Tribolium castaneum: one gene and its partners. The protein of the gene in region 3 interacts with the protein of the main gene of each other region in a biochemical or structural test. Links are inferred from orthologs where the notes say so. Each region holds a gene or a part of one and is shown on either strand. Other genes may lie near its edges.

Region 1 (5,491 bases), on a different chromosome or scaffold from region 3:
TCCGTTAAAAAGTGAATAAATTCCCACGATAAAATCACCATCCATGACAATACGAAAAACGATACTCAACAACTTGCTCTTGCAGCAATTAACACGTTGGGTAACTCGGGTTTTTTCATCAAAAAGCAAGCAAATGACAAAAACTATTGACAAATCGATTCATTCTACACGTGTTGCGCCTTTCCAAAGCGAGGTTTTTGTAAGTGTTGCCTCAAAGCATAGAAACTTTCACCACTATTGTATTTTTTCCGATTTGTTGCTGTTTATTAATTACAGACGAGGCTTTTTCCGGAGTAAAATAAACTTGTCCGTGCCCCTTAAACAGGTGCAGATAAAATCGGATTAAGGCCCATCAAACGGTAATGCATCCCTGGGGTGCATCGAGAAATCTGCGTGGGAGCCACCATGGTGAATAAACAGATTTCGGGCGGAATAAGTATCGCCTGAAAGCAAAAACGGGTACTGAAACATTGCTCCGGTTTTAATCTAATCCTCTAATTCTCCGGTTCGACGCTCGCACTCTAAAGATTTCACTTGCATTATTCTAGAAAACGAAACACCGACATTTGTCCAACAAAATCCAAAAAACCGCTGGCGTGTGATGTGAAATGAGTTACTTACCTTCTTTCCGATTCACGGTCAAATAAAAACGAGCAAACAAAAATGAAACAAAATGGATGAAAAATCCGTTTATTTACATATTGCATTCATAAGAATCGGGTAACTAAAATTACGTCAACATTCAACGATAAATATTTACAAAAATAAAGGTAAAAAAGACAGATTAAACGAAAAATTAATCATGCCAAGTATCACTAAACCTAATACAGCTTCATGTAGTTCCTCTGGTGGAGGGCGCCCCCGACACGTACCTCTAGGTCTTGCTCAGGCCGGTCCTGCTGCCTGTACCCCCTCTGCTTGTCCTCGAACTCCCGCAGCCTCTGGTTGTACCTCTCGATCTGCTCCCGCAGGAGGGCGTCCTCCTGAGCGGCCCGCTCCTCGCAGTACTCCAGGCAGCCGACGCCGTCGAGGCGCTCCAGGTCCAGCCAACCCCGCCATCTCACGCAGACGCCGTTCATGATGAACGAGGACTTGATGTGCACCTGAAAGCAAGCGAAAGCTCCGTTAATTTATTATAAAATTGCAAAAATTGAATCGGCCCGTTGCTAATGGAATGAATCGATTCCCGCCCTCTCGGCGGGGGCAAAGGGTGCGCTTTGTCCGAAAGGCGTGCGAAAATTATGTCGTTATGAGTTTTTTCGGCGACATCTGTAACTTTATTTTTTTCTTTGAGAGCGAGGAAGGGTGCGCTCGAATAACCCCGCGGGAGGCATTTGTACCTTTGACTGTTTGTTATTATTCGAGTTGTCAGAATTAATAATGACGTTTTGAGAGGGGTGATAGGGATTTTTTCGAGATTAGGTGGATTTTCACCGAGGGCAATTTACGCAGATGGCGTGGACAGACCATTGGTCAGAAGTGGCCGTGATTTATTTCGGAAACGCCCAGTGTTTCAGGGGCGGCCAGGAACCGGCCCCGAAGGGGTGGACGCACCCAACGGATTCTATTGTCGAAAAGGTGCTGGTCTGGCGACCTTTTGCATAACGGTGGCATGAGAGAGACCAATAAAGTCAACGATTTACGAAGCGAGAACAAAAAATAATAATAAGAAAAGTAAAATCTAAAATGAATCAATAAACAAACCCAATTTCTTAAAAATTATCTTATTTTGTGTTAGAAACTTATAGATTGTTCGAATTTTCCTGCAAAAAAATTCATTTATGCTCAAAAATAAAACTGTTTCGCAAAATTTAGTTTTGTTCTGAGCGAGAAAAAAAATTACAAAAAACCTGGAATTAATTAATTTGAATTCTTTTTTTTGCCTTTTTAAAATAGGTAAGCAAAATAGACTCATTGGTTGACTAATTACTTTTTGGCGAATTATCCGTAGGATGTTTACGAATTTTGCAGAAAGCAAAAGTTAAAGGACTTTCGCCTGTAACCTACGATCGCCGCTTAAGGCTTTAATAAATTTTTGTTTTTTTTTTAAATAATGTGTTAATTATTGGTTGGTTTTTAGAGGAAGTATGTTTTTGAAAATTATTTGTTTTTCTTTATTTTTCAGAAAACAAAGCTTATCAAAAAGGTCTTCATTTAGAAAAAAACAGTAAACTGTTTCGTCACTAACTCGCTTTAAAGACAATTGTCTTAGCGAATCATCTTAATAATTTTTCTGAGGAAACACAGCATTTGCTTATCAAAAGGACTATCGATTGTAAACTATGCAAACATTTCTTGGAACTTTTTTTTTTTCTTTGCCACAAAATATTTTGTCCTTGGCTCATTTTTAGACGATTTATTTTCTTATCGAATCGTTCGTACAATTTTTATGATTTAGCAGAAAACAAAGCTTAGCAAAAGAATCATCGACTGTGAAACCGATAATGACTTCTTAGGGCTTTAATAATTTCTTTGTTTTTTCAAAATATTTTGTCATTGACCCATTCTGTGTCGAATTATTTTTTGGTGAATCATTTTCCTGGTGAACAATTTTCCTAATTTTTGCAGATATCAAAGCTTATCCAACGGGCCTTCGATTGCAAAAAAATAGTAAACCAGCAATAATTTGTTACGGTTTTAATATAATTTTTTATTTTTTTTTTAATATTTTGTTTCTATCTAGTTCCAATTATTTTTTAGGGAATTATCCGAAGAATTCTGTTTTTTTGCAGAAAATAACAAAAGGTCATCGAATGTGAAATATACAATTATTTCTTGCGACTTTAATATTTATTTGGTTTTCTCAAAATATTGTGTCGTTAGTACGCATTAGTTAGTTTTCAGAAGAATTATTTTGTTCTGTTGAATCATTCGTGAGACTTTTCAGACTTTTGTAGAAAGCAAAGATTATCTAAACGGCCTTCGATCTCAAAAAAATAGTGAACCGGCAATTGTTATTTAAAGTTTTAATAATTTTCGCTATTTTTTTTAGTTTTCACCAAATACTACTTTATTTTTTTCTTATTTTTCTTAGCGAATTTTCCATATAAGTCTCATGATTTTTGTAGAAAACAAAGCTTATCAAAGAGATCGTCGACTGTGAAATCGACAATGACATCTTAGGGTTTTAGTAATTTCTTTGTTTTCTGAAAATAAATATTTTGTCATTGGCCTATTCTTTGTCGAATAATTTTTTTGGTGAACCATCTGTACAATTTTTGCAGATAGCAAAGCTTATCTAACGGGCCTTCGATTGTAAAAAATAGTGAACCAGCAATTGCTATTTAGAGTTTTAATAATTTTCGATTTTTTTAGTCTTCACAAAATACTACTTTATTTTTGTCTTGACTTTATTTTTCTTAGCAAATTATCCATAGAATTCTCATGATTTTTGCAGAAAACAAAGCTTATCAAAAAAACCTTCGATTGTGAAACCGACAATCACTTCTTACGGCTTAATACATTTTTTTGATTTTTTCTAAATATTTTGCCATTAGCTCATTTTTGTCGAATTATTTTTTGGCGAACCATCCGTACCTACAATTTTTCTGAATTTTGCAGAAAACAAAGGACCTTCAACTGCAAAAAAAACAGTAAACCGGCAATAATCTAGTAAGAACGTAATAATTTTTTAACTTTTTCAAAATTTCTGTACAATTTTTTTCTGATTTTGGCAGAAAGCTTAACTAATTAGTCAAAGTTACGTTATTTTTGTCTTTTTCGGAGCATTTTAACACCAAAACCTCAAGTCTGATTATTTCAAACAGGCCAAAGGACGAAATGTTTGGCCTTTTTCGCAAATTTAGCTTGTTTTTGAACTTATTTTTGCAAAGTATCGTCATAAATACCCAAATTAGATCTCAACTAACGATCTATTGGCCTATTTAGATTGATAGTTTTCTGATAAAAAAATTGATAAAACGAAAAATTTTTTTATACTTGGGATATTTTTAAAAATAAAAACTTTTAGCTGCAATTCCAAAAACTAAGACTTGAGTAATTTCTGGAACTGAAACACATTATCATTGAGTTAGAATTACAAAATAAATAAATCTTCAAGCAAGGAAGTCAAGGCAATTTTTCGTCGTAAACTGTTAAAATTTATGAAATGCTGCGAGTTGAAGTGACATGATTGTTCTTAGTCATAAAAGCGTCCATAAACTTATGAAATCATTTATGCGTCGAGTGTAATAATTGATGACTTCACGTCGTGGCAGTTTAACTTTTCGTTTTGTCTCTCAAAATTTCAATTTTCGCGAGTTCAGCAACCCGCCTTGTTTTTCTCGGATTCTCCGTCTGGTCAGAATTTTCTTTATTATGATAATGTGTCGTGTGCGGCATGTCTGATCACGCTTTGTTTTATCGTCGTGTATAAGCAAATAAATGATTCACAGTCTATTAGTATTCAGGCAATTAATTGTTAGGAGTGCAATAGAGGTGACCTAGAGAGATCTTCAAGGTTCCAAGCGGGGAAATCCCGAGGAAAGTCAACATTTTTTTTAGCTAACAAGATCAGAAACCCATTAGGACCATCTGTCGCATCGAGTGACTTGACGCTTTCAACCCTTTCTCGCCCTTGTTCTATGGCTTCGAAAAAACGGGATTTCTAGTTCACAACGCACAAAAAACTAATTATGATATCACAATCGGCGCGGAAAACGATAAATAAAAATATTGTTGTATGGATGGTGTGTATAGAATGGAGTTTGAATGCCCTTACCAATCTGGACGCATTGATCAAATTCTATAACACCAGCAGTCGATCTGTAATTACGAAACGCTGCTAGATAATTAAGTAATGGTCTTTTCCATTGTGGCCCGTGGTCATTCGCCCCGTTTTACATGCAATATTATTGATGGGATTTTTTCCGACACGGTCTATGCAATTACAATGGGATTTTTGGTCTTTATTTGCATTTTCTAATTTATTTTTCTGTCACGAGAATTTCAACAACTAGGCATAGGTTTTTTGAGAAGCTTTAGCCCACCTGATTGAAAAATAAATTGATTCAATTTTGATCCAATTAAAAGTAATACCTATTATTATACCTGAATCTAATCAACTAATCACATACATAAAGAAATTTAAAAAAATGTTTTTTTAGAAAAAAAACTTGTATTTAAAAGATGCACTAAAAAGCAAAAAATAAATGTTTTTTTTATCAGACGAAAATATTTTTGCTCACAAATTAGAATATTAAAATTTATAAAAGCTTTGGGAACAGTGCTCAGTTTAAAATTCTGTAATGCCGTGTTGTTATGACCGTTCCCAAAGCTTTTATAAATTTTAAAGTCCTAATTCGTAGGCAAAAATATTCTCCTCTGATAAAAAAAAAATATTTTTGATTTTTAGTGCATCTTTTGAATAAAAGAATTTTTCTAAAAAAACATTTTTTTATTTATTTATTTATTGCTTTTTAGTCTTTATTGCTTTAGTCTATTCTACACGTCTTTTTCTCTGAGATTTAGTTTCGCCATATTATTGTAACAC
Region 2 (6,250 bases), on a different chromosome or scaffold from region 3:
TTATCAACATTATTTAAACAAACGAAGTTGTTAGCATTTTTATTAAATTGGAATGACTAGTATTTGAAAAAATGAAAAATCATTATTCATTATCATTAGGTATCGATAATAATAATATTAAGAAGGCTTTGAAAAAAGAAACAATAAATAATTCAGTGGGGCGAAGTGTGGCTGAAAGTTATTCAGTTCAACCCTACAAAATAAAAATTAAGAAAAAACCAACAAATAAGTACACGCAAAAATTGATATTAATGACCAAATGATATTCTTAACATAAAACGAAATAAAAAGACTCAAAAAGTATCAACTCCCGAAACTTTAAATTTAATGCATCTCAAGGAAGAAAAAAAAGAGAAGGAAACATTTCTTAAAACTTTTAAGGCCAAAATGGGAACAGTAAACACGCAGTTGCAAATAATTTCAGCTCTTTAATAAATTATTAATAAAATTAGAAATATTTACGTTATGTGCATGACAATCCATGAACAAAGATACTGGAATTCGGAAGATTAGGTTTTATGCGTACTCAGTAAAAACCAAAAAAATTTATTTTTACAACTAGTAATTATTTTGGGATAGTAGGTATTGAAAAAAGACAGTATGAATTGAATAATAATTTATTGAAATACAAAATGTAACAAAAAATTTCAAGACCTGGATTATACAAAAACTAAATTTCCGTTATAACATGTTGAGTTTACGAAAAAAAATGGTGAGAATCAAATACCGAAAACCGTATTATGCTACTGATAACATAACGATCAATGCCCATACCTGCAAAAAATACATCATCAGTACTTTCTTAGAATAAAAAATAAAATAAAAAAAATCAAAGTAATTTACACCACCATCACATGTTTCAGTTTATTTTCACTTTCTACAGTTTCTTAAAAATTGTTTTCTTCGATTTTTTTCGTAAACTACTGTTTGAGTTTTTCTGAAATTTATCGGATGATGTATTTCTGTAGAGAACAAGTCAATATACCGGTAACTAAAAAACTTTTACAAAAGCGTTTCTCATTATTCGTTGTTATTTGGCAAATGCAGTATATGTATTAGCTATTTTGAAAGTATAAAAACGCCAAAATCGCATTTTTTCTCAAAATTAGTTGTTATAAATTATTCATGCACTTTAAAAAATAGTACCTAATGTAATTTATACTTTCAATGAGAGATCTAATCATTAGTAACTATTTTAAAAATTCTATGTATTTTGTTTAAAAAAATAATTCAGTAACAGGCGACGTTGGCGTTTTTATAGTTTTGAAACAGTTTATTTATTCAAACGAAATAATTAATTAATATTACAACAATTGAACAATTGTTAGAAAACAAATACATATTAATTCAGTTTTTAGTAAAATTACTTTGATTTTTATTTAAGTTATTTAAGTTGTTTAAATACGTTCTTAGGACAAATACTAACGTTGACGATTATACTGTTTTTTAAGTTAAAGTACCTACCACTTAAAATTATTTTCAAGTATACAGGCTGTTTCTAAAATTAGATACAATACAAACTTGTTTTTTTAAATGGAACAACCTATATTTTTTGCATTTTTGGATGTAGCTTTTAACACAGATGTTTTCAAGCTTTTCAAATTGTTATAGGTCGATTTTGCTTTGTTTTTACAATAACTGGATTTTTTTGCCAAAACACGCTTTTTTAAAAAAATCGTTACATAAAAACTTAGAATCTCAGAAAAGAGGAACTTTCACCACTTTAAAGAAAGAAAGTTCAAACTCCAAGGATGTATTATTTTTATTAGCTTACTGCAATCAAGAAGATAAAAAATGAAGAGGTTTGTTGCAAGTTGAATAACTTAAAAATTTTAAATGGAACACCCAATTTTTATTTTTGCATCTAAAAGACCTTTAAATAGTCTCTCTGACAAGATTAACAGTTGGGTCTTTCGCTAATTAGTGATTACTCAAAAGATTTTTAACATTAAACAATAAAAAAATTATTACCTATTGTTTCAGTAGTCAAAAAGTGAAATTTTCTGCTAATAATAACTTTAATGTTACTTTTAGGCCATTATTTGTCATTTATAACAGTGAAATAATTAAAATTTCAATACTTATAGAATTTTTAGTCCCGTATAATCTCCAACAAGTGGTCTGTGGTGGAGTTGCTATGGTTGTGATATGTTGTTGAAATTAACGTTTAAAGTGAAATATCTTTTTAGTTAGTAACTTTAGGAAGTTGAAACTTTATGTTTTTAGTAATTTAGTAATTTTTGAGAAGCAATAACAAAAAATAGAGTGTTCCATTTAAGTTTTTCAAGTTTTAATAAACTTTAATTTTTCTGTTTCTAATTGTAATACGCTAAACAATTGGAACAGATTTATAAGTTTGAACTTTTCCCCGTGTGGGATTCTACGATTCTGCCTTTTTGTGTAATAATTTTTTGTGTTTTTGTCAAAAAAATCAAAATATTTTAAAAACTAAGCAAAAATGCAATAAAATTTAGGGTGTTTCATTTGAAAAAACATAGCTTTAGTGTTTTTTTATATTGGAACATCCTCTATATGCATACCCGTATCTAAAAAAAAGGAAAACTCAATATCTTTAATAATAAACAAATTATGGAGCTTTTTGGGATCGTTGGGACAGCCTGTGTTTAAGTATTATTATGAAATTACTATAACAAAAACTGTGAAATGTGACATTCAAATTTCCCGCCATGTCACACAACAAAGTAGATCGTTAATTGACCACTAGATGGTATAACAATAAAAAATTTAAACCCTCTGTATTGTAAAAGTTGTAAAAACAAAGGGACTATTAACCCGTTAGAAAAACATTTAAAATAAAAAAACTTACTTTTGAAATTCCCATTCTCGATTATCTAGTGGGCACACCTGCCTTGTCTTCAACCACCTCGAAATACAGTGAAAATGAAACGCGTGCTAAAACCAGATTCACTAAAACCAAAACTCAAAAAACAGCAAATTACTCACATTACACACTCCCCAAGCAACTGTACACTCTTCACTGGTCGCTGAGGCCTGATTTGCCTGACACTCAATACATAAATCCATAATATGATTGCGACAAATGGCACAATTATCGACCACGATATCTAAAATTTTAATTAAAACCAACGTGTCTAATAAAATGACACAGCGTACCCCAAGCCCACAACGCTACGGCGTTCCACTTCATAAAAATGAAAAATCATCAAGTGTTAGGTTATGTCTCACAAACTTACCTTTTTCACTTCGAAACGCTTCTTTTCACCCTTGGAACTGCTCGAAGTGGGAACTTCGACCTCGTCAACATCCACGTCCATTGCCGCTGCCATTTTTGCCCAAATAACACAAAATTGTGAGTTTTTACAAACGTTAATTGCCAAACTGTTTGGGGTGAAATTTCGACTGGGGAATTTTACGCGTGTGTTGGGTGCCCTTCAACCACCACAGAATGACCAATTTTGCGAAAATCAATGTTATTAACTTAACTAATGGATGGCTAACGCATTAAAATTGTAAACAAGTGTTGTATTAATTGATAATTATTTTATTAATGGCCATTTTCGTCTGACGGTTGCCGTTGGCACTCCTGGCGAAGCTTCCACTTGTGATGGCGTTTGTCGTTTAAAACCGTAAACAAAAATGCCGCATTTAATTATACCCGTAATTAATTGTCTGTGATAAACGGTGTGTTTTCAACCAAATAGCACCATTTTCCCGTGCAAGTGACAATGGAAAGTGAAAAATCCACCGAAAGCGAGTTAACCTCAACAATGGGCAACCTGCTGTCATCGAATACCGACGAAAAAAGTGAGTCTTGTGATTCAACCCCAACGTCTTCCACCGATGCATTTACAACCACTTCAACGTCACACATTGGTAAGTGTTTTTTCCAGTTTTCCTTGCGCTTACTTCAATTGTGTTCAGCTGCTGACGATCCAATCAGTAGCACATCCTCGGATGCTTTGGATTCGGGGAAACACCCGAGTAGTGCGAACCCAGTTATTAATTTAGTGAGGGAGATGTCAGGGGGTGGTAACCCATCGCCGATTGCGTCCGATAAGGACCTGCTCGATATGAATATTACGGATACTTCTACGGAGAAAATTACAGAAAATGTTGATGACATTGTTCAGGATTTGGAGAATTTGTTAGGGGAGCCGACGACTTCGTTTGATTTTACGATTCGAAAGGATCTGAGAGGGGCTAATAAAGACATTGCGATGGAGCTTGATGAGTTTTCAGCTGAACTTCAAATGTTGCAAGGTAAGAAATCAAATATTTATTTAATTTATATTAATTTTAAATGATTAGTTAATAAGTCAGCCAGTGTCAAAAAACGGGCGTTAGGGGAGCCACTAGTCTGGGCTTCAATGGAACATGTATGTTTTGGTTTCAAAATGTACTAAATTTCGTTTCCAAAAAATACAGCCGAAATCAAATATTTTATTAATTAATTGAGTTAATAGTTAATAAGTCAGCTATGGGCATTGGGGTGCTTCACAGTCATGTCTTAAAAATTTTGAACAGTATCAAATGTTAGCGTAATTATTAGCTGTTTCGAAATTATAAAAATGCCAACGTCGGATTTTCTCTAGAAGTAATTGTTATAAATTATTTATGCTTTTCAAAGAATTAATAGCTTATATATTTTCTAGTTTTATTGGAAGATCTTGTCATTAATAACTATTTTTATCAATCTTATTTAAAAAAAATATTCGGTTAAATGCGATGTTAACAGTGTCTTAATTTTGATATTGTTAAAGTCTTTGATAATTAAGGTTATTGATAATTGAATAATTAATAATTGAAATTTTTAAGAAACGGTTCTGCAAAAATTTAAAAATCTATGATAGATATCAATTTGTATTTTTTTTTCTGTTCGCATTTCCAATTTTACAATGTGGCTCCAATTATAGGTTGGAAACACCTTGACTGGTACTGTTGTCCTAGAAAAAAAAATCATTTCAACTGATACTGTTCATAAAAACTGAAAATAAAATCAAAATTTTTTTGCAGTGTTCCGTCCGTTAAACTGGAATGGCTGAAAATTAGGTGATTTGATATTTATAGTCTATGATTAAATAATTTCCTGATATAATTTTCTCATATTTGAGTAATTTTTTTACTGTAGCGTTATATTCCATTGTAGTATTTCACAAATGCTCTGTATGTTTGTAATTATCTTTTATGCTTTTATACTTTATACGATTATTAGGTATATCATCAAAGAAAATAAACACAAAATATTTCGAAATGTAACAAAATTAATTCTCATGTAAAATTAAGTAACAAGAATAAAATGTAAATAAAAATAAACAAAAATGAGGTCACAAAGCAATATTAAGAACAAAAAAATATTATAAAATTTTTGTGCTTACTATTAATTATTATTTTATATTGGTTATTATTTAATAACACAGCTGGTCTATTATTAGATCATAATTTTGCTACTAGGAGACAACTTATGATATCAATATAACCTATAGGTCTTATAAAAAAACACGTTTTTCAGTTTTCAATACAATTATTTTAAAAATAAGGTGAAAAACCAACCTTTTTCTGAACAGTATAGCCAAGCAAACGAAAAACGTGGTTGGAGATATGGTTTATAAATTATAAACTAAGTTTTCAGTTTTTGGTTTGAGATTGATTTTTCTAAAAACACATCGAAAAAATTTTTTTTATTTTTTTTGCTGGCTTTTCAGTCAGTAACTCTATTATTTCAAAATTTTGTTAGAAATAATGCGAAAATTACAAGACATGGTTAATAATATGTTTGCTGTGTAACACTTCGCCTTTCTTCTGTTACCGCATACAAATGATTAATCTTAGGGCCGGTTTAACTTAATCCGCAGTTAAATGCGTGATTAATTGATCAAGTAACCTAATTGAAACAACTTGGTTAGTTCATTCGCATTGTTAACTTTTAACGTCTCAAAATTTAATGAAGCTTTTTATAAACCCCTAAAGCCTTTAATGTTTTAATTACAACAAAATAATTAAATTAATTAATTTAAATTTAAGGTATCGTTTATTCTAAAATTTATTCCAAAATAAATAACATTAAATTTAGATTAGTGCGGCCTTTTTTTGGAAAATTGATTAAAAAAGATCTATAAAATGCTGAATTTAATATTTCAGTAAAAAAATATTTTTTTTGTAAAATTTTGTTAAACGGATTAAAAATATGAAGATGAAGTTAGATAATTAGGTGTGTTGCTTTTATCTTTTTCGAGCTTTTTTGTGCATTTACAAGTGTTTCAGAGGAAAA
Region 3 (5,980 bases):
GTTATGGACGCTGCACTTCTCCTCATTGCTGGTAGAAAATTTCACTAATTTGTCCAAAAGTAAACTTTCTCAATTATTAGGCAACGAGTCGTGCCCTCAGCCACAAACAAGCGAACATTTAGCCGCCATAGAAATCATGAAACTGAAGCATATTATCATCCTGCAAAATAAAATCGACCTGGTGAAGGAAGGACAAGCCAAGGAGCAACACGAACAAATCGTCAAGTTCGTGCAAGGGACTGTGGCCGAGGGGGCGCCGATTATCCCGATCTCGGCCCAACTGAAGTACAATATTGAAGTAACTATTTTAACTAACAACCACAAGAGTTGACGCTTCCTTCCAGGTGCTTTGCGAATACATTACGAAGAAAATCCCCGTTCCGGTGAGAGACTTCACCTCACAGCCCCGTCTTATCGTTATTCGATCGTTTGATGTGAATAAACCGGGGTGTGAGGTGAACGATCTCAAAGGGGGCGTCGCTGGAGGCAGTATTTTACGAGGGGTCTTGAAAGTCGGGCAAGAAATCGAAGTAAGACCCGGCTTGGTGAGCAAAGACTCTGAAGGCAAGCTGACCTGCCGCCCAATTTTCTCCCGAATTGTCTCCCTCTACACGGAGCAAAACGAGCTACAGTTCGCCGTTCCGGGAGGTTTGATCGGTGTTGGGACGAAGATCGAGCCGACTTTGTGTCGGGCTGACCGTCTCGTTGGACAAGTCTTGGGAGCAGTTGGGGCCTTACCGAGTATTTTTATTGAGTTGGAGGTGATTTATTAATGGTGGGTCTACTGTTTGTAATCAGCGGGATTGCAGGTCAGCTACTACTTGCTGAAACGTCTGCTAGGTGTGCGCACGGAAGGGGACAAGAAGGGGGCAAAGGTCCAGAAATTGTCCAAGAGCGAAGTCTTGCTAGTCAATATAGGGTCTTTAAGCACTGGGGGACGTGTCGTTGCCACGAAGGCTGATTTGGTTAAGATTGCTTTAACTAACCCGGTTTGTACCGAAATTGGCGAGAAGATTGCGCTCAGCAGACGTGTGGAGAAGCATTGGCGTCTCATAGGGTGGGGGCAAATCCGCGGAGGGGAGACTATTGAACCCACCAACAACTAGACACCAGTCTATCCCTCTACAGGAGTTTTATTTTCTAATACATTTCACACAGGTTACTGTAGCTTATATTTATTTAGAGTTTGGTGTTATAGGTTCCATTTTAAATAATATAAACAATAATGAAATTATGACGTTTTATTGGCGAACTATGCAACTTCTATAACCGTAATGATTAATTTAAACAGGAGTGGAAATGACTTCTGTGTACTTCTTGATTTTGCTAGCGACGCTCATATCAACGTATTTATCACCAATGCTGACGATCATTCCTCCTATGATAGAGGGATCAACTTTGGTACTCAACTGAATGGTCTCGCTTGACTTCACGAACGATTTTAAGACCGATTCCAACTTAGACTTTTGCGCAGCATCTAAGTCTCTGGCTGTGATGACCTCACAAGTCACCTAAAGGCAAAGTTCTAGCATGTACTTAATGACTGAACAACAAATTTTCTTAATATGACTGATTGGGCAAAAATTAGTATTGAACCATACAAACACCGTAAAACATTACCTCTCCACGATGGGCTGCCATCATGACCTTAAAGGCGTTGATAACCCCATCCAAATTCTTCAGACGCCCATTATCGGCAAGAGTCTGCAAAAGATTGGACGTCTGCGCGTTAAGCGATATTTTCGAGGCAATTTGTTTCAAAGCCTCGGATTTCAGCCCGCGCTTAATTGTGGGGTTCTTGATAAATTCCCTCAATTTGGGGTCAGACTTGATAGCTGACTGGAACTTTAGGAGGTCTTTTTCAACAGAATCGAGGGTTTTTTGCTTGCTGGCAGCCGAGTACAGGGCGGTGGCGTAACGTCCGTCAATGCCAAAGACCTGCACCGGAGGCTTAACCATCTGACTTGCGACATTGCTAGTGCTGAAGGAGCGGACCTGCGGTTATGTAATCACATTTTGGGTGATAGAGTGCCGACAACGTAATCACAAGTTGAACCAAGTTGTACTTACAAGCATCGAGAGCTTATTTGTGGCCATTATTGCGTTTTTTTGGTTGCTGGAAGTGAAATCGAACTTAGGGCCCCACTGCACTGTCAAGTTCAACCCTTCGACTGTCAAAAACTAGGGTCTTTGATGGTGTGACTTGTCGATGTTGGTGAAACGTTTTGGAAATGTCAGTTTGACAGTGACATTTTTTCAATTTTTCCGTAAAATTAATTAAAAATAAAATGAAGTGGTTATAGATTTCGTTTGGAATCGATAATTAATAGCGTGACTACCCCGATGTTTTAAAATTTCCCCTCGACTCTCGCAATTTAAGTAATTGGCGGTACCGCTCCCCTCTTATTGTCAGCAAGCCCAGCGACTAAGCACAAATATGCTAAGGTTAAGCTGAAACTACTTAAAATAAATCATTAAGATTAGTTTTAACCAATTTAAAACAATTCACACGTTAAACAAATGTAAAACATATCAGTAGCAACGCTGAGAAGTTTCAATGCCAATCGTAACCTCTAAAATGCTTAAGGTGATTGCAGTAACCTTCCATTACGTGCACAAAACCCTGAAGTGTGTTTTGCAGGAAAAGGGGCAACTAAAATTCGAAGACAAATGGCCCTTGATGCGCCCCATTGTCCTGAAGCTCTTAAAACAAGAACCAGTATCACCAGCCGAATGGCAGGAACTGTTTTACGACGTCCACTTAGTTTGTCTTTGGGACGAGAAAGGGCCAGTTAAATTACGCGATCACTTACAAGAAGATATAGTGCAGTTTATTAAACAAGCTCAAGCTAGAGTTCTGGCTCAAAGACAAGACGAAGCACTGCTGAAAGCTTACATTGCAGAATGGAGGAAATTCTTCACGCAGTGTAACTACCTACCCACCCCTTTTAGGCAGCTGGAAACGTCGTTACAGGGAAAAACTTGGTCAGGGACCAACAGCGGGCAAAGCGGGAGCGCCAAAAAGGGGGCCACAGACGAGAGCATAGTCAGGAAATTAATGCTCGATTCGTGGAATGAAAGTATTTTTAAAGATATTAAGCACAGGCTGCAGGATAGCGCCATGAAGCTCGTGCATGCGGAAAGGAACGGGGAAGCCTTTGACTCTCAGTTAGTAATAGGTAGGTTTATTTTAAATCCCAACACCGTATTAAATTTACATAACAACTCGTTCCATATATCATCATTTAAAAAGTAAAGACCAATTAGTAAATTTCGAATAAAATTTAGATTTTTTTTGCGTTGTTGTTTGGAATGAATATTTTGCAGGAGTTCGTGAGTCGTACGTGAACCTCTGTTCGAGCACCTACGACCGCTTGAAAATCTACCGCGAAAACTTCGAGGCGGCGTACATCCAAAGCACCGAAATGTTCTACCGACTTAAAGCCCCCGAACACTTGGAAACAAACGGCGTCCAGGCTTACATGCGCTACGCGGACAGCAAACTGCGGGAGGAAGAAGCCCGAGCTCAACGTTACCTCGAAGCTGGAAGCAACGGCGTGATCCAGTGTTGCGTCAAAGTTTTAGTCAGCAATAACCTGTCGGTGCTTTTGGCCGAATGTGCGCCCCTGATCAAAGCCGGCGAAACCGACCGACTCCAGTTAATGTTTAGGTTGTTAGAGCGGGTCCCGGAAGGGGTCCAGCCGATGTTGACCGAACTGGAGAACCACATAACCCAGGCCGGTTTGGCCGATATGGTGGCAGCTGCCGATATCATTACGCAAGATTCGGAAAAGTACGTTGAGAGATTGTTGGAGTTGTTCCGGAGGTTTAGTAAATTGGTGCATGATGCGTTTTCGGACGATCCCCGATTTTTAACAGCGAGGGACAAGGCGTTCAAAGCCGTGGTTAATGACACGACGGTGTTTAGGCTCGAGTTGAACACGGGGAGAAATGCCGGTGGGAAGGTTGTAGCGCCGGAAAGTAAGTGTCCGGAGTTGTTAGCCAATTATTGCGATATGTTGCTGAGACGGACGCCACTGTCCAAGCGATTGACCAGTGAGGAAATCGAATCGCGGCTTAAAGACGTTTTGCTAGTTCTTAAATATGTATCGAATAAAGATGTTTTTATGCGTTACCACAAGGCCCATTTAACGAGAAGACTTATCCTAGATGCGAGGTATTTTTGCCGCGAAAAAACACAATTTTGTATTGTTTCATTCGATTTTTAGCGCTGATAGTGAGAAGGAGGAAGATATGGTTGAGTGGTTGCGAGAGGTCGGAATGCCAGCCGACTACGTAAATAAATTAGCTAGAATGTTTCAAGATATTAAAGTTAGTGAAGACCTAAACGGCCAGTTTAGAACTTCAACTGCAAGACACGATGCTATTAATATTAAAATTCTTAATGCTGGTGCTTGGGCTCGGGGCTCAGAACGCGTCACTGTGAGCTTGCCAGTGGAACTGGAGGATTATATCCCGGAAGTAGAGGAGTTTTACAAGAAGAAACACTCTGGAAGGAAGCTACAATGGTATGAATGAACCCATCAAAGGCCCCCTTTTGAAGTTATTTCTAATTTATTCCTTGCTTTTAAATAATAATGTTTTTGGCCTTAAAACTCTCAAAAAAGGGTCAAATAACACAAATTTTGGGCTATTGATGTTTTTTTTTGACTTGTTTAAAAAAAGCGGAATAATGTCGTTTTTACTCAAAAATTGACCCTAGGTACCATCACATGAGCAACGGAACAATAACATTTGCCACCAACGGCGGAAAATTCGATTTAGACGTGACCACCTTTCAAATGGCTGTGCTTTTCGCATGGAATCAACGACCACACGATAGAATAACATACGAAAATTTACGTCTAGCGACTGAATTGCCAGATGGCGAATTAAGGCGGACGTTATGGTCCCTAGTGGCATTCCCCAAATTGAAAAGACAGTTGCTGCTGTTTTCGCCAAATGTTAGCGCTCCTAAAGACTTTACTGAACATACAGTTTTTTGGGTGAATCAAGATTTTGCGCTCATTAAAAATGGCAAACCGCAAAAAAGGGGAAAAGTAATCGAGACAATTATTTTATTTTCTTGTTTTTAAAACGCTTTTTCAGGTGAATTTAATAGGGCGGTTACAGCTGAGTACTGAAAGGTCCCAAATGGAAGATAACCAATCCATTGTACAATTACGAATTCTCAGGACACAAGAAGCCATAATAAAAATCTTGAAGATGCGGAAACGAATATCAAATGCTTCGTTACAAACTGAGTTGGTGGACATTTTGAAAAACATGTTTCTTCCGTCGAAAAAATTGATCAAAGAGCAGCTGGAGTGGCTAATTGAACACAAGTACATGAGGAGGGACGACGATGATATTAATACTTTTATTTATATGGCATGAAATTGTTATAAACAATAAAACATTTGTTATATATCTGAAGATGAGTCTTATTAATCAACCCACGTTACACCCATCTGAGGACGATTTTGGTCATTTTTGAGACTGAAACGTACAATTTTAACGACGATTTTGGGTTTAGAACAATCATATTTGAGAAAAAAATTAACAAACCCGCAAAATTTAAAATAGCGCCAACCGTCAACGTCAAATTGACAGCTGAGTGCGGCCATAAAATATGGTTATGTTGTGACGCTTCAATGTTTCGTTGATAAATTGTGTTGTCTGAATTAATTCTTCCCATTTGTGGCTTCGAGACAATGCCTCAAAGCCCCAAAAAGCCGGCCCCAAAATGGCACCACCCGTCCGAAGTCATGAAATTGCACAAATTGAAAATGAAGAAGAAGGCCCTTCAGGCGCGCATTGCGGGGGGCACTCTCAACACATCGCTCTCCGACGCCCAGGACAACAAAAACGCAGCTTTAGAAGACATCATTTCGGCCAAAAAACGCAAAAACCCGTTTGTGAAAACCAGCGAAAGCAAAAAATGCAAGCAAGATGTTCCCTCTAGTCTTGACGAGTCAAC
Region 4 (4,593 bases), on a different chromosome or scaffold from region 3:
ACATTCTCCGGAAATTAGCCAAAACCTTCTCTGACGAAGTAAGTCGGTCTTGGCCACTTCGAAAAATGATTTTGCGTTTTTAGCACGACATTGTCAAATTACAAGTAATGAACTTGGCTGTAAAACTATACATAACAAACTCCGAACAAACGGCATTATTGTGCCAATATATCTTTAATTTGGCCCGGTATGATCAAAACTACGACATTAGGGACAAAGCAAGGCTGTTTAAGCAGTTCATACCGCAACAAAACGGCCGAATTGCCTCCCAATCGGCTAGGATATTCCTGGCAAGCAAGCCCGCACCCCTACTTCAGTCGCATTTCAAAGACCACGAAGACTTGCAATTGGGCTCCCTGTCGCACTATATCAAGCAACGAGCGACCGGCTATGAGCCCCTGCCCCCGTTCCCGGAGAATCCGCCCCCGGGTGACGTCCGAAACGTCGAACCAATCGTAATTGAAGACTCCAAATCGTACAAAAAATCGGTACTTATCAGCCGTTACCGAAATTTCCGAAATAAATCACTGTTTCAGGACAAAAAGGGTAAAGACATGTTCTTGTGGGAGTCGGGGAGTTCCCGGGGGGCTAGTAGCAACAACAGCTCGGACAGCTCCGACTCGTCTAGCTCTAGTAGCGACAGTTCGAGTGAAGACAGCGAAAGTCAATATGAGGAAGAATCGTCAAGTGATGAGTACGGAACTGTGGTTTTCGGGCAAATTGATAGTAAAACAATTTCAGGAAGTCGGCGAGTTGCACTTCGAGCGAAGAGTCCAGCAGTGAGGAGAGTGAAGAAGAAGCGAAGAAACCCGAAGCACCAAAACCAAAATCAAACTTAGACTTATTGCTAGATTTAGGCGACGTTGATAGCACTGCACCCGTGATGACCCCATCACTGGGCGGGTTCCTAACACCGAGTGTCGTAAGCACGACACCTTCGCAGGTCGAAATGACGCCCCCCGTTTTCACCAACACTAAAACCATCGAACTTATTAACAAAATCAACGGGCGGGGGCTGTCGGCCACTTACAGGTTCACCCGGACGCCTCATATTTTATCGCCAAGTATGGCAAACATCAATATAATGTTCACCAACAACACCACCGAAGACATCAGTGATATTAGGCTGGGAAAAAAGGTTGGCTGGTCTTATTTTGTTTCTTTGAAACGGTTCCAGTGTCCGAATTTTGTAGAATTTAGGACTGGACATGTCGATGTATGAGTTCGCAAACATCGCCAGATTGCCGCCAAACGGCTGCCTGCCCGCGTCGCTCGGGATCGACTTCAACGACACGACCCAGCCGGCGAACTTCGAGATCGTGTGCTCGTTGGGCAACTTCAGCGTCTGCATAAAGCCGACCATAGGCGAGCTGGTGCGCCCCGTCCGGATGGACACCCCCACATTCCAGGAAAAGCAGTCGAAGTTGGGCGGCATGAACGAACATATCGGCAAAGTGAAGTGCGTCTCTAACATCGTCGAAAGAGTCACCGAATGCAGCAACTTGGGCGTGTGCGACCCAGCGAGCGACAGCCTGAGGTAACGCCCGCTTTTGTGTGGCGAGTGATTAGTCTCGTTTACAGGTTCGCGGGCCAAACGCTGAAATCGTCGAACTTCGTTCTGGTCACAATAACCAAGCAGGAGGTGGTCACTGTCAATTGCGAGAACATGGTCTTTGGGTCCGTTATGCTCAACGAACTGCTACATAATCTCAAGTCATAAGTTGCTTCAGCGTATTTGATGTATTGTACTTGTTTGTAACGGGAAATACTTGAACATAATGTGCACTTGCTAAACGCCGAGCTTCCTTTTGCGTGAATATTATGTTGGATGTATTTGCCACCTAGTTATCACTTTTCTTTTTTATCCTTTCAAATAAATATTTATGAGAAGTGTGTGTTTGGATTGAAACAGCGGTAATTCATATAAATATATTGTGGTAAACTTTACCCAAAGTGAAGAGTTGCTCACTTGTGGACAAACTTTACGATAACTTTTTACAAAAAAAGGAAATGGAGTATTCACACTCGTGAAAGCGGACAAACAGTAATATCGACGACTCTACAACGATTAATCTTTAGCATACAGCATAACGTACTCATTCACTTTCATTCTAAATTCCTCCTTAGAGTTTCTATACATATCCGAAGCTTCTATATTTAAAGGATCGTCAAAATTTAACAAATCCTGAAACAAAACGTCAACCGTGTCCAAACGATCCGATAAATACCGTAAATAAGGCGTGTAGGCCCCAGACGACGTCGTTTAATCTCCTAATGGGCGACCAGCCCAGCCCGTCCATGCTGTGCTGCCTCAGGAGCGATAGGCACACTTCGCCGACTTCGGTTATGTTAGGGTGCCACAAACGCGTGAGGCATCTGACAGTGGGAGGCTGCAAACGAGACTCAACCGCCGATCGCAACTCGGTGGCAATACTTACAACCATGTTATACTCTTCGGTAACGTTAATAGCAAATCTAAAAGTACCACCCTCCCAAAGGCCCTCCGTGGGTCTCACGGTTAAAATGAACTTGCTCAAATCGTTCTCATTCTCGTAGAAAACTGAACAATTACTGGGCAAAAGTTGGGCCATTTCTTGTGATTCTTTAATTAGTAGTTTGTCCCTGATTGAAATTCGGTTCGTGTTAGAAGAACGGTCTTCTTGCTGTTTTTTCAAGCGTTGGGATAGCGTAATCATGATTCTACAAATTATTATTGAAACACAATGAAAATCATCGCATTGTTTATGTTTAATTTTGATATAAATTTTTGGTTAGGTAACTGACAGCGCCGCTGTCAACGAGAGTGACCCGGACCGAAAGATCTTCGAACCGAATTTTTTTTCAAATTGTTTAAACGAAATAAGGCGAAAATACTATCAACTGTTACTTTAACATAATTTTGGTTAATAGAAAAAACTCAAATTTGGGGTGGTCTAATTGTGTTTTATAACACGTATATGTACCATGGTTATTTAAAAAGTTTCCACCCAAATACTACAAGACTTGACCTTGTAAATCAAATTTTTATTTCCAATGTTTTGGATTTTTTTACTAAGGAAGGAGAGACCCACATGAATGATTTATTAAATGAGTAAAAATAGTTTATTGCGTAAATAAAAGATACATTTGTGTTTACTTTTTGGGGCGTACTTGAGCGGCTTCGTTACCAAACATCTTCCACAGGCTTCTTCTACGGCAGGGTGGTCTTATGATATTATCTCTTAAACAAATTTGGTAGACCTCCGGGTCTGTTTTGGCAAGGTTGAGGACCTCAGCAGAGCTTAACTCCCTGAATAGAAAATTTATGTTAAAAAATATAAGTACTTATTTGAATTTTTTACGTACTCCCAAATCACCGAAAGACGCCCACGATTGTCTTCCCTACCTCGAACCTTCTTGGCATCTTTTTTAGACTGTTTTGATGAGACACAACCCATTTTCTTCGCGAGTATACGACTTATAAGCATGTAACTGCCGCAACGCTGATACCCCTTTTATTCATTCTGATAGTATGTAGACTGATAAAATATTTTCATGAAGATTCCTAACAGGTAAATCGGTTATAATCAGCAATACGTAACAGGTGCGCCACCCAAGTGAAATATTTGGATAAATGGCCCTAATTAAGTTATCAAATTATTAACGTAAAAATACAAAAATGCGAATAATGACGCTTAAAATTTTATCATAATATTGTAACATGACTTATTTTTAAAAGCTTGCCATACGAAAATCACAAAATTTTTTTGAAGAATCTAAAATTACAGGCAAATGTCACATTACAATAAAGGTTTTTTTATTGTTTTGTATATACATTTAAATTGTAGATAATTTGCAAAGAAATGTTCACAAAATTTGATTTGTGACACGTAATACTGATAGCCCAATTGACAGTATGTTATTTTAAATTTTTTCTCTTTGTTGATTTGGACGTTAGATGTTTTTCCAAAAATGTAACTTTATATTAGAAAGGCGGTTTTGTTTTGCCGAGCGTCCACCAGAATAGCGCTGCGTGACCACTACTCTTTCCACGAAGACCCAGGATCAACCCAAAACACGAAAAAGCCTTTTGTAATTTCAGTATTTATCAAAAATGATTCCTGTTTTTTATTAAATAAGGTATACATATTTTTTTGCTGCTTTCTTTGAATAATTTTTTTTGGAACTAGCGTCAATTTTTTACGTAATTTTCTAACAAACAACAACATACAAGCATCATTTTCTTCTAAGTGCTATTCATTAGGAATAATAAAAAAGCTTAAATAGTTTTCAAGATAAGAAAGTCAAAATTACAGCATTTCGGCCCTGCTAGGAGGTCCTAGGACCTGATATCAGGCAAATGTTGCAGAATATTAAGTTAAATAAAAATTAATGACCGAATTAATCTTCGCCCACATCTGCCGCTGAAATTGGCTTCGAAGAAGGCAAAAATAATTTTATTGGAAAAGGGACGTCAACAACAATTAGACAAAGTGTTAAAACAGCAAAATTTATTTAATTAGGCAAATATCAGCCGATATTTGAACAATAAAACATCAGTTTTTGGAAGCACTTTAATCGCCTTCTGATTGGTCTGTCTTACTGTCGGGAGTG

The links.
Region 1: the proteins of Cul5 (region 3) and protein big brother form a complex in vitro, tested with the Homo sapiens proteins (4 studies listed by BioGRID). The link is inferred for Tribolium castaneum from reciprocal best matches to the Homo sapiens genes CUL5 and CBFB.
Region 2: the proteins of Cul5 (region 3) and Roc1a form a complex in vitro, tested with the Homo sapiens proteins (4 studies listed by BioGRID and IntAct, with this or other methods). The link is inferred for Tribolium castaneum from reciprocal best matches to the Homo sapiens genes CUL5 and RBX1.
Region 4: of the proteins of Cul5 (region 3) and NEDD8-conjugating enzyme UBE2F, one has a biochemical effect on the other in vitro, tested with the Homo sapiens proteins (2 studies listed by BioGRID). The link is inferred for Tribolium castaneum from reciprocal best matches to the Homo sapiens genes CUL5 and UBE2F.

Annotation. Positions count from the first base shown.
Region 1 is NC_087398.1:9,983,903-9,989,393, reverse strand, and holds part of protein big brother, read right to left. Parts: intron 1,104-5,491; coding exon 873-1,103; intron 1-872. UniProt on the Homo sapiens protein: Forms the heterodimeric complex core-binding factor (CBF) with RUNX family proteins (RUNX1, RUNX2, and RUNX3).
Region 2 is NC_087402.1:12,065,682-12,071,931, forward strand, and holds Roc1a (RING-box protein 1A), read right to left. Parts: upstream 3,405-6,250; 5' UTR 3,309-3,404; coding exon 3,216-3,308; intron 3,164-3,215; coding exon 3,136-3,163; intron 3,087-3,135; coding exon 2,965-3,086; intron 2,914-2,964; coding exon 2,828-2,913; intron 775-2,827; coding exon 762-774; 3' UTR 602-761; downstream 1-601. Other genes in the region: e(y)3 (titin), read left to right, coding at 3,708-3,855, 3,904-4,242. UniProt on the Homo sapiens protein: E3 ubiquitin ligase component of multiple cullin-RING-based E3 ubiquitin-protein ligase (CRLs) complexes which mediate the ubiquitination and subsequent proteasomal degradation of target proteins, including proteins involved in cell cycle progression, signal transduction, transcription and transcription-coupled nucleotide excision repair.
Region 3 is NC_087397.1:4,184,823-4,190,802, reverse strand, and holds Cul5 (cullin-5), read left to right. Parts: upstream 1-2,369; 5' UTR 2,370-2,557; coding exon 2,558-2,587; intron 2,588-2,641; coding exon 2,642-3,179; intron 3,180-3,327; coding exon 3,328-4,177; intron 4,178-4,229; coding exon 4,230-4,529; intron 4,530-4,723; coding exon 4,724-5,060; intron 5,061-5,109; coding exon 5,110-5,397; 3' UTR 5,398-5,436; downstream 5,437-5,980. Other genes in the region: ATPsynO (ATP synthase subunit O, mitochondrial), read right to left, coding at 1,284-1,511, 1,621-1,995, 2,071-2,097; hd (protein downstream neighbor of son homolog), read left to right, coding at 5,715-5,980. UniProt on the Homo sapiens protein: Core component of multiple cullin-5-RING E3 ubiquitin-protein ligase complexes (ECS complexes, also named CRL5 complexes), which mediate the ubiquitination and subsequent proteasomal degradation of target proteins.
Region 4 is NC_087403.1:3,756,467-3,761,059, reverse strand, and holds NEDD8-conjugating enzyme UBE2F, read right to left. Parts: upstream 2,808-4,593; 5' UTR 2,697-2,807; coding exon 2,439-2,696; intron 2,391-2,438; coding exon 2,229-2,390; intron 2,186-2,228; coding exon 2,069-2,185; 3' UTR 1,916-2,068; downstream 1-1,915. Other genes in the region: rb (AP-3 complex subunit beta-2), read left to right, coding at 1-38, 84-488, 537-694, 742-1,138, 1,194-1,537, 1,582-1,720. UniProt on the Homo sapiens protein: Accepts the ubiquitin-like protein NEDD8 from the UBA3-NAE1 E1 complex and catalyzes its covalent attachment to other proteins. Together with the E3 ubiquitin ligase RNF7/RBX2, specifically neddylates cullin-5 (CUL5).